Nothobranchius furzeri: one gene and its partners. The protein of the gene in region 1 interacts with the protein of each later gene in a pairwise test. Links are inferred from orthologs where the notes say so. Each region holds a gene or a part of one and is shown in the gene's direction. Other genes may lie near its edges. The genes, in order: RNA-binding protein with serine-rich domain 1, srsf6a and srpk2.

Region 1 (4,229 bases):
ACCTTTCTGCATCTAATCAACACAACAACTCCCTCCCAATAGAGGCTGACGACTCATCAGGGGATGGAGAAGCGGGTACCCAGAGTAGTTTTGGCTCGTTAAATAACAATAGACAGCTTGACTCTCCCATATTCCAGTTAGAATTGACAAAGCTCCTCAGATGAGAAGCAAATTGTCTTCAAGAAACTAAAGAAGTCCAGTTGCCTTCATCTGAACCCTTTGGGTTACCATGACCTGGATGACTGAGAACCTTCATCAGCATATCTACACACACGTTTTACTTCATGATCTCAAGCACAAGTGAATGGGACATAAATGTAGGTTTTAGGGCTGTGCAGGTATTGAAACCAGATTTTAGGAAAAGTGAAGTTTTTTTAAATGAAATAATGTTTCTGCAAATAAAAATCTACTTTCAGCTCACACTTGATTCAGAAATGAACATGTATAATCAACATACCGTATGTAGCATCCAGTCACATGGCTGCAACAAAACCTCAGGTTAAATATTTTTTAATCATCCATTTAAATAGATAGATGTTTATGTATTTTGCAGACGCTTTAGTCCAAACTTTGGATTCCAAAGTGACTTACAAGTGATAATCAGCATGTTGCCCTTGAGGCTAACAACAACAGTAACAACAACAAACAATTTCCAGTCAGTTGGTGGCAGTGAGGCAGCATGATGAATCATGGAGAACAAGGAGTGGACAGTAGAGAGGGGATGGGTGCAGGGAGGGTGCTAGTTTAGAAGATGTTCTCTGAAGAGCAGGGTCTTCAGGAGTTTCTTGAAAATAGATGGACCATTAATGCCTCAGTTAAACATGGTTATTTGAAAGGTACAAATAATCAACTCCAGTAATCAGGAGACCAAATAATTAATCTTTTATAAAACAAGCATGAGGCTGTTTCACGCATGTGGATATGAGCTCACTTAATAAATCCTGGTTAAACCATGGTGAAATTACAGGCATGATGCATGATCATTTCACCTTTTTACTCCGGAATCCTTAAAAAAGAAATCCAAACGGTGAACGTTTCAAAACACAAACCAAGCCCCAAAACTTCCATTCTCAATGAAAACAGATTAATATGAATTTATTGATGCAGTCCGTCAATGGCTGTGATCTGTGTCTTCTTAAAGACAGCTGTTAACACTGTCCTAACGCGTAATGCGCTACAGCAACGCAACAGCTCAAACCGCATCTACATGTCAACATTGGACACATATCTACAGGAAAACAGATGCTAGCTGAGCTAGCTGTCAACAACATCTGTCATTAATGTACCTCTCTCTCTCTGTCAACAACAGCGAAGCCCCACCACCGTTTCAAACTTGACAAACTCATTTCATATCCAAAAGCGCGTCCGTCTGTGTTTCTACAGAGATGTCGGAAATGCAAGCTGATATTTCACCGTCAACGTCGTAAAATAAACAAATGAGTTGTAAGTGGCGCTCAAGCAGGAACGCAACTTCCGCTGGCGTCATCAACCGTCGACAAGCGAACAGGCCGCAAGTGGTGGAAGCAGAGCTACATCGTCCATAAAAAATGTAGGTTTGAGCTCTTTCCTGGCTTAAAACTGTCCGTTTTTAGTTGTGATGCTTAGTTAATCAACTCTGAAAACCCAGGCGTGTTTTACCGTCGTGTGCTTGTTGCGTGAAGAGCTGAGTGATCGGTTAACGGCATGGTCGGAGCTCTCCTTGTTTAGAGGCAGCGGGCTGAATGAAACTCGTTGGCGGCGGATTTCTGCCTGAGTGCTGCTTTTTCCTATAATAACATAACAAATGTTTACGATTTCCAGCAGACATTTGGTGCTCCCTAAACTATGTGTGATGTGGATTGTTTTTATTTATTTCAGTTATAAATCATGTATATCGTGTTTAGTCTCTTTCAGCTAGCTTACGGCTTGAATTTTTGGTGCCAGATAAGTTGTGTAATATTAGGAGAAAAACGTTATTAGTTTTTTTTATCAGTTGCTTTTACATTAAGGGATTTATTTTAAAATTGAGACATCAGTGTAGTTTTGATAAATGTTCAAGAAAATAAAATTATAAAAATCTTTGTTGCACAAAAGGAAATAAACCTACTGGGGTTTAATTATTCTAAACAAAGAGACAGAAGTTTATTGACTAGTCTGTTGTTTTAACAGCTGGAATAACAACTTAGCGTTCTGTGGTAATTCCACAGTAATGGTAGTGCATCACACTAAAGAAATATTCCTTAGCATTAAAGATTAAACACAACAGTTAAAATGTTGCTTTGTGTTTCATTTTAACTGACAGAAAACACAAAATACACTTTTTGGGTTTCATTTTCAGCTTGTTGAGATTACAGATTAGACCCAGATTTGAATTCTGCATGAATTTGAACATTCCCACAATTTGTAGCTCTTAGATTTGTTAAATCCATTTGTGTAAAACAACTAAACTAACAGATGTTTACATCACTTTAGGGCACCATCTCCTACGAAAAGGAAGGAGGAAGAAAAATCTAAAGATAGGGGCAAAGAGAAGACTGCCACCAAGGAAGGAGACAAAGAGAGAGGACGGGACAAAGTAAGGAAACGTCGTAGTGCCTCTTCTGGAAGCAGCAGCAGCAGCAGGTCTGAGTTCCTTCTCATTTGTTATATCACTAGAGAAATCTGTGCTAAAAATTCCTAACAAACCATTTCATTTGTTCTGATTGTGACCGGATCCAGATCTAGCTCATCATCCAGCAGCAGCTCTGGTTCTAGCTCAGGTTCCTCGAGTGGATCCAGCTCTTCTGGCACCAGTCGATCTGGATCGTCCAGCTCTCGATCGTCATCCTCCTCCAGCTCCTCTGGCTCGCCGAGCCCCAGCCGCAGGCGCCATGACAACCGCCGGCGCTCCCGATCACCGTAAGTCTTTGTTCGTGTCTCAGTGTTTACGATGACTTTTGGTTTCTAGTTATTTATTTACTGCTTTCTGATTTTTCAGGTCTAAAACACAGAAGAGAGGAGAGGACAAAGAGCGAAGGAAACGAAGCCCGATTGTCAAACCCACTAAGGTTCACTTAGGAAGGCTGACCAGAAACGTTACCAAGGTTAGCTTAAATGAAGAACATCTGCTTTCTCTTTCTCATCATGTCTGCTTTTATTTGAGACTATGATGCAATCTCAAGGTTATGTAAGTGCACAAGAACAGCCACGCACATCCTTAATGTGTAGTAATTAAAGATAAAATCTGAGAAGATTTTCTTGTGTGCATCGGGTGTGTTAGTCATCAGCAATGCTCTGCTCAAAACAAAAAGGAGAAAATAAAGAGTTTGTTTTATTTGTTTGGCATCAAGATAATTTTGTGTCAAAGTTGAGAGAATATCTGACCTTTCTATTTCTGTTGTACCAGGATCACATCCAGGAGATCTTTTCCACTTATGGAAAAATCAAAATGATTGACATGCAGATGGATAGGATGCACCCACACCTGAGCAAGGGCCATGCTTATGTGGAGTTTGAGACCCCTGAGGAGGCACAGAAGGCCCTTAAACACATGGACGGAGGTTGGTGTGCATGTTCAATTTAACAGCCTCTGGGTCTCAGGAACACTGGGGGTCTTTTCTGTGTGTTGATTATTTTTTATGACTATTATAAAAACAGGTCAGATTGACGGACAGGAAATCACAGCCGCTGCTGTTCTGCCTCAACGGATCCGTCTACCACCTCGCAGACTGTCTCCTCCTCGCAGAATGCCCCCACCACCTCCTATGTGGCGGCGCAGCCCACCACGCATGAGGAGGAGGTATCGCCTACAGACAGTTTCAGCCATAAACACACACACGTGTACAGGTAATAATGCCGTTTTTGTTGTTTCAGGTCTCGTTCTCCAAGGAGACGATCCCCGGCACGTCGCCGTTCCCGCTCCAGGTCTCCTGGTCGCCGGCGCCATCGCTCTCGCTCCAGCTCCAACTCCTCCAGATAAACTCATTCAGATGTCATGTGGTTTTCTACGCTGTGATGCTGATCAGCTACAACCCTCGTTTTCTCAGACTCCTTTGACTCAGTAGAAATGCCATCATCTACGCTGTATGTGTGGTCATAGCAAGAGTGCTTCTGTTCCATTTGATTTTTTCTTAAATTTTGTGCTAAGTTGATTCAGAAAAGTTAGCTTAGTTTTATGTTGCCTCTACCGGGATCTACAAACATTTTGTTTCCTTTTACCTTGTATTACGTCCTTTTAACTTTTAAAAAATAAAGATGCAGAAACAGAATTT
Region 2 (4,274 bases), on another chromosome or scaffold:
CGATAACTGAATGACATACGCTTTAGATTTGGACCTTGGTTGTTGTATTGCTACTGATACCAGTCTTCTCGCTCCTGCAGAGGAATACGTAACCTGTCACACCTGCCGCTCTCCAGAGACCATCCTGCAGAAGGACACTCGTCTATATTTCCTGCAGTGTGAGACGTGCCACTCCCGCTGCTCTGTTGCCAGCATCAAGACTGGCTTCCAGGCTGTGACGGGCAAGCGGGCGCAGCTCCGCGCCAAAGCCAACTAAAGGCCATGAAAAGTGGGCTCCCTCTCTCCAAAGCTGGGATCGGTCGCCCCCTCTGATTTAAATAAAAGGACTCTCTGAATCGAACTGCGGGAGGGTTTGGTTGTTTAGTGGTTGCAGCCTTTACAGGCAGGAAGTGAAAGAGGATCTAAGTCTAACTGAAGAGGTACAGATGCTGTAAGCAGATGACGTTCTCCAGATTTACTGTTGGATTGAATGCATTTGGTTGCGTGGCTGACAAACCCTCTGCCTCCCAGGTTTTTTTTTTTTTTTCTATTTTGCTGTGATTTAATCTCTTGAAGAAAACCCCACAGGTTGTCAGGTATTTTAGTTTTTTCATTTTACACATACCAGTCATGAAGACTAAAAACATGTTTCCGTATAGCTAGTCAGATTGCGTCAAGCTAAAAGAGTCCACATGAAGAAAGCTTAAATGCTTTAATTGTATCCATGGCCCCTACTTAATTCTCCAGCTCTTTGTTGCTAAACTAAAAATGATTTTTCTTGTCTAGCACAAACATTACATTTAGTGCTAAAGTTTCACAGACTTGCTTGTGGTTTTACAGTAAAATGTGTTGAGATCAAACCGTTGGGGCTCAAAAGGAGGAGGCCAAGGTTAAAATGGCTGATGTGAGGTGTAAAACAGAAATACAAACTGTTTTTGAGTGCTTTTGTAGTCTTGATTTCATAAAACCAGTGACAATATTTCTATCTTACTGATTTAATTAAAGCCACTTGGGAAAAAATATTTTTTGACATGAAAAGTAAGTTTTCTTTATCTAATGAAAGTGCCCCATCATTAAAAAAAAAATAATAAACTGGGTTGAATCTGTTTCCACCACAGTCTCTCCTGGATTACAAAAATGCAGTTCTATGATGGTTGTCATGTGATATTAGTTCAGCTTTTTTTTCTTTTGAGTATGGTCGCTAAGGTCTGATGAATCAATTTAAAATCTGGTTTTTACCTAAATAAAATATTCTACTTCATTACTTTTTCCCAGTTGTGTCCATGATGTGGTAGATACAGAGTTTTATGTGGAACCCAACCCAACATAATCTTGCTAGTTTATGTAGGTGTGCCAGTGTCTAATTCAAGGGGTCATTGTATTTTGGTTTAGAAGGGTTAAAATTTGAAATTTACTCATTAAAATTCATTATCCAACAATATAAATGCAAACATTGTTCATGTTGAAGCTGATATTAAATTAATTTCAAATTAAACAACCAAGTTTTTCTGTAATTTTAGCATTCATATGGTGGCCAGAAAAGGCACGAAAATTAATATAAATGACTAGGAAAAATAAGTTTATGATTCGACATTTTTCGTTTCTCTTTCTAAAACAATTTAAACTTGTCAAGTGGGGCTTTTATTTTGAAGTTCCATTACTGGTAACGTCATTCCGTTAACTTGACGCTGATTGGTTGGCTAAGTGCCTTAGTGCGCGAGCCGAAGCCTTCTTGAGGGGTGAGCTTGTAAAGTTAGCATCAGAAGCAGAACGCTACATCTTGTGATGACCGTACAATAACGACGTTTTTTTTTGTGGAAAAATATAACAAAATGCCTCGAGTTTATATTGGACGGTTGAGTTACCATGTCCGTGAGAAAGATATCCAGCGATTTTTCAGCGGTTATGGTAAATTAATGGAAATTGATTTGAAAAATGGGTGAGTTTTAAGTGAAATATCGAGTGTGAGGTTTAGCTTGCTAAAACGTTTCAGTAGCCAATGTTGCTCCAAGAGCTTTTAACCATTTATGCAATTTTGTTGTGATTCAGTAGAAAAATTGGTTTCCATATCAAATGTGCTAAAAGTATAGATGGTAATTTCTTGCTAGGTGTATCATGTTTAGGTTATTTTTAAGTTTCAATCCTGCCCGTGTAGCAAATGTCGCATGGCCAACATGGCGTCTTTGTATTTTCGATGATGCTAAGCTAACGTGGGCTTAGTGTGGGGCCGTATTTCTAGGCCTCATTTTTCAGTTGCACATTTTTTACGTTTTCATTGGGTCTTTAAATATATTTCATTATTTGTGTTTTTTACTGTGTTGTTTTATTTTGAAGGTATGGGTTCGTGGAGTTTGAGGACAACCGAGATGCCGACGATGCCGTGTACGAGCTGAACGGGAAGGAGCTGTGCGGAGAGCGGGTGATCGTTGAGCATGCCCGGGGGCCGCGCCGTGACCGAGACAGCTACAGCGGCGGTGGGGGTTACTGGGGTGGTGGACGCAGTAAGTACAATCCGTTATCATGTACCCAGTTTTCTTCATTAAGTACAAAAAACTCTGCCTTTACAGATTTCTAAGTTTTTACGCAGAACTGTGTTTTTTTATGAGGATTGACGTCACAATTCGAGTTAAGTTTAACATATGCAACATCACAAAGTAACACATTTTAGCTAAAGTTAAATGTCTAAATTGAAAATTTTTTGGTACCCTATCTCATCTGCAGTCAAGTACATGAAAACTATATTTTCACTCCTTTTTAACGAGATTTGGTCCCATCTCACCCAGGAACTCGAGAGCTGCTGTAAGATCTGACTGTAGGTTGCTGACCTGCAGGTTTTTGCTCTTCCTGGTTTCAGGCCATTTTGGATTGATTGCCTCTACCATCATCTGAATGAGCAAATAACTGCAAGTCAGAGGATTTATCAGTTAAGAAGTGTAGTAGAGAAAACATTAAGCGTAAATTTATTTATAATCAAAATGTGTTTACAAAGTTGCGTAAAATACTAAATACATTTTGATCGTGGCATACATAGCTAGTGTTAGGATGGTTAGGGCTAAACTAACATTTTCTGTGATTTGTGTATTGCTAACTTTGGCATATATTCATTATATATATTTTAAACATTAACAAAAGTCCTTGATGTTTTAATTTGAAAGAGTCCAGCTGCGGGCTGAGGCTGAGAGTCCATTGAGGCTAAAGATGACTGGCTAAGATGACTGCCTGTCCCGTTTGGCCTTGGCTTTCACCTTACAATGTGTGTGTGACCTTTGCCCCCCTCTTGATCCTTGGCTGACCTAACCGGAAGCCATGATGACAGCAGCCTTTTGCCAATAGACCAGGGGTGATGGTGAGGATTGCCATTGGTTTTTATGTTGACAGCAAACATGAGTGGATCGGCTCTAGTTAAAAACTTCCAGTCTAAAGAAATTTTGTAAGTGAAAAACTGGAATTTCAGACTGACGTCAGGTAAAATAAAGTATTAATATAAATGATAAGCACATCAGTCATTTTCAGTTTAATTGATGAATGTGGATGCCTCTTTTCTCTTTGTTACAGGATTCAGGGGTCTTAAAGAGCGTCAGTGTCCTTTTTGTTTTAAGCAGCTAAAGTTTCACAGTACTACACGATGAAATAACAGGCTTTGTATCGCCAAAAACACACAGTGGTGTACTCTGTAGCCGCAAGTCTCTTTATAAAGTGATCAGTACATACTTTTAGAGCCCTATGCAATAAAAATTGCTTATCTCGAGCTTTTTGGGGAAGATTGGGATTTGAAGGTCTTCTTTCATGAAGTTTTAACTTATTCCCTGTGGAGTTAGATTTTGTCTTTAATTTTATGTCCAGACCAGTGATTGTTTTTTTTTTTTTAAGCTTTTCTTAATTTTTGTGTTTTGTTATTTTCAAAGGTGGTGGTGGAGGAGGTGGTGGTGGTTATAGCAGCGGTGGCGGCGGCGGCGGTGGTGGCGGCGGCGGCAGCAGGAGCCGCACTGGTCGGGATAAATATGGACCTCCAGTTCGTACTGAGTACCGTCTTGTTGTGGAGAACTTGTCCAGTCGCTGTAGCTGGCAGGATCTCAAGGTACTTTTGACCAACCTGGGTCAGACAATCAGTGTTGACATTTTTTGCAACAATATGTGCATTAAAATGTACTTAATCGTTTATCTTGACTTAACCAGGACTTCATGCGTCAGGCGGGAGAGGTGACTTACGCAGACGCTCACAAGGAGCGCACCAATGAGGGAGTGATTGAGTTCAGGTCCTACTCTGACATGAAGAGGGCTATGGACAAGCTGGA
Region 3 (3,555 bases), on another chromosome or scaffold:
AAGAAGTCCAGTTGCCTTCATTAGAACCCTTTGGATTATCTACAGATGACTTGTTAAAGGGGTTAGGGTCATCATAAACTTCACATACTTGCTGGGTTTGGCGCCTGACCTTCAGTAAACAATGATCTCTCCAGTTTTTTGTAAAGTTGAATGAAAACATTTCCACACAAGAAACGTCATCGTTTTAGACTGACAGTTCAGCTCTGAGTTCATTCAACAGTCATATTTCCCACACTCATTAATCTTAGTTCCAGTTCTGGCAGAAATAAGTGAAACAAAGACACAAACATTACATTTTTGTTTGAAACACAAACAGCAAGACACTATAACGTTTTTTAACTGTGACATTTTGGCTACTCAGATATCTCCTGTCCTGTCAGTCCGCAGTAGAAGGATGAATGTGTGAAAGAGGTCTGTCAGAATAGTTTTTGTGGTGTGATAAAAATCCAACTGTTGCTCTAGTGTCTGTGGGAAAGACAGCCAAGCTCAGACGCAGGTTAATGTGGTCAATCATATATTCTGTCACATGAATGCCGTGTGTTTTTACTGCAGAGTGAAGAACTTTGTGGCGATGAAGGTGGTGAAGAGCGCCCAGCACTACACAGAAACGGCCTTGGATGAGATCAAACTGCTGCGATGTGTGAGAATCTGATTGGTTGATTTTGTCCTTTTCTATCTTGTTCTTATAACAGGTCTTTTCATCACACTCCCTGCATTTTTCTGCCACTCTGAATCCTTCCTGCAGCCTTTCTTTTGTCTTCCCACACTCCCGCAGCACCACCACTCCTTTGTGGCTTATCTTTTCTTCCTCCAGCCTGTCTCACCTCATCTTCTCTACGATTTCACCCCCCAGGTGAGAGAAAGCGACCCCGGTGATCCCAACAAGGACATGGTGGTTCAGCTGATTGACGACTTCAAGATCTCTGGGGTCAACGGCATACGTATCCTGATCAGAAATGTGCTCATCGGTGAGGTTGTGTGTGTTTCTGTGTGTCAGAGACGTATGATAATGTGAGTCCTTGACTCCTCATCCCAGATGTGTGTATGGTGTTCGAGGTGCTGGGTCATCACCTGCTCAAATGGATCATTAAATCCAACTACCAAGGTCTGCCGCTGCCGTGTGTCAAGAGCATTATCAAACAGGTGACTGACACACACACACACACACACACACACACACACACATCATGGTTTATTTATTCTGAGTGAAAACCATATTCTGGTCGAGCAGTGACAAATCATGATTGTAAAACCAAAATTTACGAGTCCCTCTATTTGTACAGTGGACCATTTAATAATTCTCAGGCCAATGAAAGAAGAGCAGATACTTGTTTGCTTCAGACTCAAGCATGGCTGCTTTTCTCAGACACGAGCCTCAGAGATTTTTACCCATCAGCCACCTGGTCAGCATGTGATGACGCTGAGTATTTTCAGCGACTGTTGGCCTCTCACAACCTGAGCTGGAGAAGAACAGAACAATGAATGATCTTGTTTCTGTCTCAGTCCCAAAGCCAAAACAGTTGACCTTAAACATTGGTATTTTTGTTTTTGTTAATCTGAAACTCACAAACAGAAAGATGTATTCATTTTGACTAGGGCTGGGCGACATGGCCTAAAATCAGTATCACGATATATCGAGGATTTCACCTCGATGACGATAAACGGACGATAACTAAAGGTACGCGTAGAAACAAAAGTTTTCCACTAGGTGGGGCTGTCACATTTTTACATGACTCAAGGTGGTGCAGCTTCTTAAAGGGACATGGACGTTGCCAACCTACGCACATCTTTTCATTTTTTTTATTATCAATTTTATCGACATGGGAAAAATTATCTCTAAGAGTCAGAAATTTTGATAATGATACATTTTCGATTTATTGCCCAGCTCAAATTTTGACCCAAATAGATAAATGTATGTGTGTTGTCATCAGGTCCTGCAGGGGCTGGACTACCTCCACGCCAAATGTAAAATCATTCACACAGACATCAAGCCAGAGAACATCCTGATGTGTGTTGATGACGTGTTTGTGAGGCGGATGGCCATGGAGGCAACGGAGTGGCAGAAAGCTGGAGCCCCACCGCCGTCTGGATCAGCAGGTAGCAACACACACACACACAGTCAGAGGAGTGGAGGTCACGCTGAATACAGGAACCACAACAGGCAAAAACACAATTTTTATGCTTAAATGTTTCATTTCAATCAAAAGAGGCATGATGTGTCTGTTCTGGTGTTCTAATTCAGCTGAACGCCTCAGAGGTAGTCTTAAAGCTGTATTTAGATTAAAACCGTTATAGCAATGTCTGATTGATAACACTTGAAAATGTGAAGTTTGTGGAGAATAATACAAACCCTTAAAGTAATAAAGTCTTATCTAACCCTCCCACTGTCTTTATGGGTGACCCCACGAGGAAAGCTGACCATTGAGCAGAGTTGATGGTTTATGCCTTGAGGTCCACGTGGCAGGGGTGAGGCGGTCATCACTCCTCACCCCTGCCACATGGACCCAAGGGATGAACCATCAACCCTGCTCAGTGGTACACTTTTCTCGCGGGGTCACACCCATTAGGACAGTGGGAGGGTTTAAGATCAAATAATTTAGATTTGTTTGCAAAGTGGGGACAACTGTAATATGGCAGGAAGCCACCTCATATTCCTAAATTGAATATGATTTAATGCTTTCAAACACCTAATGACTCCTTATCTTTCCCTCTTTACTAGTAAAGCGTTTAGTGCAGAAAATAAATGCACAGATGAGCTTTTAATGTTTCCCTCTGGTACTTGAAACCAATTCCTCTTGCTTTTCCTCTCTTATCTCCAACTTCCTGTTCAGAAGAAAAGAAAGAATCAGGTCTTTTAGTGAAAGTCTGTAGAAACTCTACATGAACCCTGTCCTCTTGGTGAACCTCGCCACAAGCTGTCAGTTACTTACATCAGCCGGTAGTCTGCTTCAGCTTCAGGGTAACCACTTAAACTCCTCGCATTGCTACATTTATAAAACACAAACTCAACCTTCAAAAGTCGCTCAGGTATTTAACAGGTTCAGGCTAAAATGGGTTTAAAGCTGGAGCATGAAAGGTGAAGAAAAGTGTTCCTGTGTCAAATTTATATCTTAACACCATCTTACTTGTTGGTTTCCAGAAGGGCCTCAGTTCTGAGAAACAATTTACTTCCTACAGCACGGATGAGGTCATAACTAGTCTGAGTCAGCCAAGACCAAAGTAGATTAGGACCACATTTAAACAGTCCCAGTCTCCTAACCTTCACCTGTCTCCCTTCATTTGTTTTATGAACGTGTGCACCATCTTTCATCATGCTGCATGTGTTAAAGACACTGCAACTAATACATTTAACAATATAATAATAGAGACATAAAACCCACACCACCTGTAGATCCTCCATCTGAGGACAGACATGTACAGGACTAGATGCAGCAGGTTTTTGTTGAAGATACTAATCCTGACACTCCATTAGGGTACCTTAGGGCCAGAGCCACCACTATTTCATGCTGGAAGCGTCAGCGGTGCGGAACGGCAGCGGAAAAGTTTACTTGCGAG

What was found.
Region 2: the proteins of RNA-binding protein with serine-rich domain 1 (region 1) and srsf6a interact in binary tests that used the Homo sapiens proteins (3 or more experiments, as listed by UniProt). The two-hybrid records come from large-scale screens. The link is inferred for Nothobranchius furzeri from reciprocal best matches to the Homo sapiens genes RNPS1 and SRSF6.
Region 3: the proteins of RNA-binding protein with serine-rich domain 1 (region 1) and srpk2 interact in binary tests that used the Homo sapiens proteins (3 or more experiments, as listed by UniProt). The link is inferred for Nothobranchius furzeri from reciprocal best matches to the Homo sapiens genes RNPS1 and SRPK2.

What each region holds. Positions count from the first base shown.
Region 1 is NC_091752.1:58,150,417-58,154,645, forward strand, and holds RNA-binding protein with serine-rich domain 1, read left to right. Parts: upstream 1-1,425; 5' UTR 1,426-1,547; coding exon 1,548-1,549; intron 1,550-2,451; coding exon 2,452-2,601; intron 2,602-2,697; coding exon 2,698-2,877; intron 2,878-2,956; coding exon 2,957-3,062; intron 3,063-3,364; coding exon 3,365-3,518; intron 3,519-3,615; coding exon 3,616-3,757; intron 3,758-3,831; coding exon 3,832-3,937; 3' UTR 3,938-4,226; downstream 4,227-4,229. UniProt on the Homo sapiens protein: Part of pre- and post-splicing multiprotein mRNP complexes. Auxiliary component of the splicing-dependent multiprotein exon junction complex (EJC) deposited at splice junction on mRNAs.
Region 2 is NC_091755.1:32,899,133-32,903,406, forward strand, and holds the start of srsf6a (serine and arginine rich splicing factor 6a), read left to right. Parts: upstream 1-1,473; 5' UTR 1,474-1,811; coding exon 1,812-1,918; intron 1,919-2,313; coding exon 2,314-2,480; intron 2,481-3,884; coding exon 3,885-4,057; intron 4,058-4,155; coding exon 4,156-4,274. Other genes in the region: eif2s2 (eukaryotic translation initiation factor 2 subunit 2), read left to right, coding at 81-256. UniProt on the Homo sapiens protein: Plays a role in constitutive splicing and modulates the selection of alternative splice sites. Plays a role in the alternative splicing of MAPT/Tau exon 10. Binds to alternative exons of TNC pre-mRNA and promotes the expression of alternatively spliced TNC.
Region 3 is NC_091744.1:58,288,764-58,292,318, reverse strand, and holds part of srpk2 (SRSF protein kinase 2), read left to right. Parts: intron 1-552; coding exon 553-640; intron 641-853; coding exon 854-941; intron 942-1,036; coding exon 1,037-1,143; intron 1,144-1,931; coding exon 1,932-2,097; intron 2,098-3,555. UniProt on the Homo sapiens protein: Serine/arginine-rich protein-specific kinase which specifically phosphorylates its substrates at serine residues located in regions rich in arginine/serine dipeptides, known as RS domains and is involved in the phosphorylation of SR splicing factors and the regulation of splicing.